Saccharomyces cerevisiae S288C: one gene and its partner. The gene in region 1 interacts genetically with each later gene. Each region holds a gene or a part of one and is shown in the gene's direction. Other genes may lie near its edges.

Region 1 (3,760 bases):
CGACTACCATTGTTAGACAGGCTATCGTCCGTCTCTTTATCTAAGAGACCGGAGCGCCCACAACAAAGCCTACCATCACTAAGGCATCTGCAATTATTACCCAGTCCTCTTTTACAAGAAAACGCAGCACGCTTCCCTGATACATCAAAACGTACATCTAATTGGAAAACTGATCTTACCCATTGGTGTAAGGATACAAACTATCAAGACTATGTTAAAATACGCGAAGAAGTGGCTCATTTCAAGCCATTAAGTATACCCAACTTAACTAATAATCAAAATAATGATAGTTTCAATTACGGCAAGGAATTGGAATCGACTAGGTCGTCCAAGTTCCATTCCCCGTCTAAGGAATCATTTGATCGTACCAAACTAATTCCTTCGATTCTAGAAGCTAAAGATCAATTTAAAGATCTTTCCAACAATGCATGGAGTATTACTCCTCCCGTCACACCGCCGATGAGTCCACCAACCAATAGAACCATGGAGCGCACGACGCTTAGAGGAGTAGAGGCCTCTTTTTTTGAGGGGAAATCCAGCAATAACGATTCAATATTCAATCCAATTATTAGTGAAAAATTGGTTCAAGAAGTTAAACATCAAAGACAATTACGTGGAAATTCATTTCCCATGCCAAATGCCAGTCACAAAAAGACGAACAGTTTCAAAGCTTTGCAAATAAAAAAATTGCTTGCGAATAGAGACATTCTATCGAACAATTCCAAATCTAATGTAAGGAAACCATCTAAGAACAAAATCTCAAAGCAAGCATCAAATGTTTTCGGTAACACTGCAAGACAATTGGTGATGAAACTCGACAACGCTAGTTACAGTTCTGTCTCTGCATCTTCATCTCCATCTCCCTCCACACCGACGAAAAGTGGCAAGATGAGATCAAGATCATCCTCACCTGTGCGTCCCAAGGCATACACTCCAAGCCCAAGGTCACCCAATTATCATAGATTTGCTCTCGACTCTCCCCCTCAAAGCCCTCGAAGATCATCAAATTCAAGCATAACGAAAAAGGGAAGTAGAAGGTCCAGTGGCTCATCACCCACTCGTCACACCACAAGAGTGTGCGTGTCGTGTCATTCGAGTGATTCGCCCTGTTGGAGGCCATCGTGGTCGCCAAGAAAGCAAGATCAGCTATGTAACTCTTGTGGTCTTCGATATAAAAAAACACATACAAGATGTTTGAACGATTTATGTCGTAAGATCCCCACAAAGGGTGAAATAAACATTATGAAATCCAATGGAATAGACAAAGAATTCGTCCCCGAACGCAACTGCGAAATTGAAGGGTACCGTTGCTTATTTTGTAATTACATAACTGAGACAGTAGAGAATTGATACATGGATAACTGAATCTCTTTCAACTAATAAGAGACATTATCACGAAACAATTGTACATTTCTCTCCTTGTCTGTGCTAAATAAACTACAAATAAAAATTCATTTTCTTTCATTTTCATTCGACACGCCGCGGCATCTTCGTTTTCTTCACCGATTAATTTTAATCTGCGCCGTGCAGATATTTTCGCCCATTTCGAAGTGAAATCATTCTAATAACTTCTCCTGCGCAATAGATTGGTCATCCTGATTTTTATTCTGAAATCGAAAATGAAAAGCATTTATTGCACTGAAATAGCGGAACCTGCTTCTAATAAGCTTAAAATTCAATCATAATAGTGTAGTTAATAGAAAGGACAGAAGAACTTTTCGTTCCTTGGTTTATCATCCAGGTTTCAGCACGGCTTTTGTTTCAAGTTTAAGTAGGTAAGATTTTTTGATTGTTCTACAACTTTTTCATAGTAATCAAAACCTTTGAATTTCAAACTTACTATGTCTAGTACTCAAGTAGGAAATGCTCTATCTAGTTCCACTACTACTTTAGTGGACTTGTCTAATTCTACGGTTACCCAAAAGAAGCAATATTATAAAGATGGCGAGACGCTGCACAATCTTTTGCTTGAACTAAAGAATAACCAAGATTTGGAACTTTTACCGCATGAACAAGCGCATCCTAAAATATTTCAAGCGCTCAAGGCTCGTATTGGTAGAATTAATAATGAAACGTGCGACCCCGGTGAGGAGAACTCGTTTTTCATATGCGATTTGGGAGAAGTCAAGAGATTATTCAACAACTGGGTGAAGGAGCTTCCTAGAATTAAGCCATTTTATGCCGTCAAATGTAATCCTGATACCAAGGTTTTGTCATTATTAGCAGAGTTGGGCGTTAATTTCGATTGCGCTTCCAAAGTGGAAATTGACAGAGTATTATCGATGAACATCTCGCCGGATAGAATTGTTTACGCTAATCCTTGTAAAGTAGCATCTTTCATTAGATATGCAGCTTCAAAAAATGTAATGAAGTCTACTTTTGACAATGTAGAAGAATTGCATAAAATCAAAAAGTTTCATCCTGAGTCTCAGTTGTTATTAAGAATCGCTACCGATGACTCTACCGCTCAATGTCGACTTTCCACCAAATATGGCTGTGAAATGGAAAACGTAGACGTTTTATTAAAGGCTATAAAGGAACTAGGTTTAAACCTGGCTGGTGTTTCTTTCCACGTCGGTTCAGGCGCTTCTGATTTTACAAGCTTATACAAAGCCGTTAGAGATGCAAGAACGGTATTTGACAAAGCTGCTAACGAATACGGGTTGCCCCCTTTGAAGATTTTGGATGTAGGTGGTGGATTTCAATTTGAATCCTTCAAAGAATCAACTGCTGTTTTGCGTCTAGCGCTAGAGGAATTTTTCCCTGTAGGTTGTGGTGTTGATATAATTGCAGAGCCTGGCAGATACTTTGTAGCTACAGCGTTCACTTTGGCATCTCATGTGATTGCGAAGAGAAAACTGTCTGAGAATGAAGCAATGATTTACACTAACGATGGTGTATACGGGAACATGAATTGTATTTTATTCGATCATCAAGAGCCCCATCCAAGAACCCTTTATCATAATTTGGAATTTCATTACGACGATTTTGAATCCACTACTGCGGTCCTCGACTCTATCAACAAAACAAGATCTGAGTATCCATATAAAGTTTCCATCTGGGGACCCACATGTGATGGTTTGGATTGTATTGCCAAAGAGTATTACATGAAGCATGATGTTATAGTCGGTGATTGGTTTTATTTTCCTGCCCTGGGTGCCTACACATCATCGGCGGCTACTCAATTCAACGGCTTTGAGCAGACTGCGGATATAGTATACATAGACTCTGAACTCGATTGAAGGATATATTTAACCACGACTTTCGCAAGAGAGACGGAGGGGGTGGGAAAAGGCTGAATGCAACCATTGTCACTAAGAATTTGAGTGTTCATGAACGAGTTATACACGCTATTTAAGAGTCAGAGAATGATGATTCAAGAAAATTCTGGCATTTTTCCTGTCCACCACTGTACGCCATTGTACACAAAAGTATTTTTTTATATTTTTTTTACAATTTTTTATAATTTTTTTTTATGTTTAGTGTATATTTGCTAGAAAGAAACAAGATCTTTTTTGGTAGTGTAAATGCTTAAACTTTGTCTCTTTTTCCTTTTTACTTTGGAAAAATGCCGACGCAAGAACATAGACATCTGCGAAAACCAAAAATAAAGTACCAATTGTACATACAAAAACAGAGAAAAAGTTCATGAACAGAACGTTACTACGGTATAGCAAGATCTTTGAATACATCCATTACTTCGGATTGTTCACCATACTTCAACACAGGCCAAGATAGACCATAGCTACAGTGATAGACG
Region 2 (2,803 bases), on another chromosome or scaffold:
AGTGTCACTGAAATTCGAAGTGGCCCTATTCAAAAAAGAATGCAAAGCCTCCTTGGTGTATGCATCTCTTTTTTTCAGCCATTCTGTTTCGTTATCTGACAAACCAGATGCTTCTCTGACTAAGTTAATATCATCATCACAGGTTACGTTCGCAGGGACGTAACTGTTATTTGGTGACCAAGCGTTAACGTTCTCTGTTAGAGAAGTCAAAACTGCAGCAGAAACCAACAAACTCTGCAACTTCATGGTTTTGTTTTATTTTCTTTCCCGTTTGCCCTTAGGATGGATAGCTTCGTGTAATTTACGTTATATGAACGAAAAAAGAGAGAAATGTTAAGAAAAGAACGAAGAATTGATTAGTTAGTATAACCTAATAAATGTAGAACCTTACAGCGAAGAGACGTTTCCGTTGGTTAAATGTGGTGGAAGCGTCTTTATATATTAGATGATGTAGTTTACCTAAGCAGTTAGAAGAAAATAAAGTAACCAAGTCATCTTCTAAGCAAAAATAGGAGACGTAAATGAATGTTGCTTAACTGAGAAAAATATGCGGGAATAAGCGGACATGTTACTGTATGAGGTTATTTCCCTTTATAGATAAGGGCGTAAACCGCATATAATGAGGAAAGGCGAAGTTAGAAACGGACTTTTTAGGTCGCTTTGAAGAAGTCCGTGCAGGAAACCCATGCGTCCACTTATTTTAGCACTATGTGGCATGAGAAAGCTTTGGAAGGAATAAACGTTAGGACCCCACTGCGCCGCTTTTACGCAGGGCAATTTCGGGGACAAAGGGGGCTGAAGGAATACAATTCCGATCCAAGGCAACAAGTAGGTCAGAACCCTTTATTAACCTGCGCTTGTTAGTGGCTTCCTTTGTACTCTGTCCGTAATCCAGCATAGCGCTGAATTGCTGAAAGATATGGGTAGCGGTCAGATGAGAAGGGCAATCGTCAGGACTTCTGTTGAAAAGCGGACTAAACATAGGCATTATCATTCTTAGAGTTTTACGAGCAAATAGAATCGAGTGACTTCCGTCGTTGCTAACAGGCGCAGTAATAATAACCGCGGACGAAAGCCACGCAGGCAAAGAATGCTTTCGCTGAAATATCGGAGTCTTGCTATTGTTCAGGGCTTTGCCGGTGCGTAAATAATAGGCTGAAGCGAATTTGATTTCCCGCACAAAAAATTTTTGCTCGAGTAAGTCATACATATATCTTGCATGCGTAAAAAAAATTGCAATTGCTGAAGATTGAACGACCGCCCACCGGTATTTTCATCTCTTCTAGATCAAGACTAACTGCTCGTTCAGTACAAGTATTTTACGATAGTCCATATTACTCTTCAATTAATATTTTTTTTTTATATTCTGGCCCGTTTTTGACACAATTTTTTCCTTCTCTTTTTCTCCCTATAAACTATGCAGAAGTAGCGATAATCACGATCTTGTTAATGATTCACATGTGCGCAAGTCGTATTGTCTGTCTAGATAGTGAGATGCCTTCTAAATAACAGGAGAGAGGCAAGATAGCATAACGGCGCAATGAAGGTAATTTCTGCCAGTTTTCTTTGCATTGACGACTGAAAGGGCCCTTGTAAGAGCCGCTCGACAGGGCGACGCCACAGTAGAGTCGCTAACACCGAAATATGCATATTGAAAAACATCAAAGTATAAAAGAACAAAGAGGGTGGCATCTGCAGATCAAAAAAAACAATAACCACCAAACAAGACACTAAAAAAGGTCGTAAAAAGGTCAAAAGTTAGAATGGTTAAGGTATATATTCATGACAACAAGGTTGACTCCGATTATCGCGCACCCCACAATTCTGGAACAGAACTTTCCCTGGATGAATTAGCCAAGTTAGGAGTGATTTATAAATACTGTGCAAATGAGGAAGAAGTGAATGAAATTGCTAGGCAAAGAGAATATAAAAATAGAGATGTGGTCAACATCTGCGAAGGTTCCTTCAAAAGTGAAGCAGAGTTTAATGAAAAACTAGCAACATTCTACCAAGAGCATTTACATGAAGACGAAGAAATAAGATACTGTCTCGAGGGTGCTGGATACTTTGACGTCAGGGATGCTTCCACACCAGAGAACTGGATTAGGTGTTTGGTAGAGTCAGGTGATTTACTGATTCTTCCACCAGGCATCTATCATCGTTTCACCTTGACAACTAGCAACCACATCAAGGCCTTGAGACTGTTTAAGGACGAGCCCAAATGGCAAGCTATCAACAGGTCAAATCAGGCTGATTCATTGCCTGTACGCAAGGACTACATTGCCCTGATCAATCAGTACTAAATACTGCATCATAATACATTATTCTTAATGTCTTACTTCTTTATATCTTTAAAGTAGCGTAGGGTGACTTCCCCGTCAAGAATGATTTTTAGTCTGTGAAATAGGAAAAGAAAAAAACACCAAAAGTGGAAAAAGAAACACCGGAAGTTTGAACGATTTTCGTATTATTTTTATATTTAGATGTTGGTCAAGTATTCATCTTTTCCTCCATTTATTTGCATACTTCTTCCATGGAGAATAGTGAAAAGTATAGGCCATAGTCGTAATATCAAAAAGCAAAGCCTTATCACTATTTATAAACATCAACAATCCTGAAAGCCAAAAACGATACGACATTTGATATTTTGATTTGGTTTCAGCGCCCTATTTTTTTTATAAAAACTATACGCATACTGTTGCATTCCTTTCTTTATAAAATTCAATAAAAAATTAATACTTTCCACAGATAAAGCTAGAGAATGTCAACAACAGGTCCGTTAGATGCTACTTTAATAAGGGAC

The links.
Region 2: mutations in SPE1 (region 1) and ADI1 together harm fitness less than expected from each alone (positive genetic interaction), as found in Saccharomyces cerevisiae (3 studies listed by BioGRID).

The regions. Positions count from the first base shown.
Region 1 is NC_001143.9:94,916-98,675, forward strand, and holds SPE1 (ornithine decarboxylase SPE1), read left to right. Parts: upstream 1-1,841; coding exon 1,842-3,242; downstream 3,243-3,760. Other genes in the region: DNA-binding transcription repressor ASH1, read left to right, coding at 1-1,350; YKL183C-A (uncharacterized protein), read right to left, coding at 3,480-3,692. UniProt on the Saccharomyces cerevisiae protein: Catalyzes the first and rate-limiting step of polyamine biosynthesis that converts ornithine into putrescine, which is the precursor for the polyamines, spermidine and spermine.
Region 2 is NC_001145.3:282,339-285,141, forward strand, and holds ADI1 (acireductone dioxygenase (Ni2+-requiring)), read left to right. Parts: upstream 1-1,763; coding exon 1,764-2,303; downstream 2,304-2,803. Other genes in the region: PLB1 (lysophospholipase), read right to left, coding at 1-246; YMR008C-A (uncharacterized protein), read right to left, coding at 743-1,210; ANY1 (Any1p), read left to right, coding at 2,762-2,803. UniProt on the Saccharomyces cerevisiae protein: Catalyzes 2 different reactions between oxygen and the acireductone 1,2-dihydroxy-3-keto-5-methylthiopentene (DHK-MTPene) depending upon the metal bound in the active site.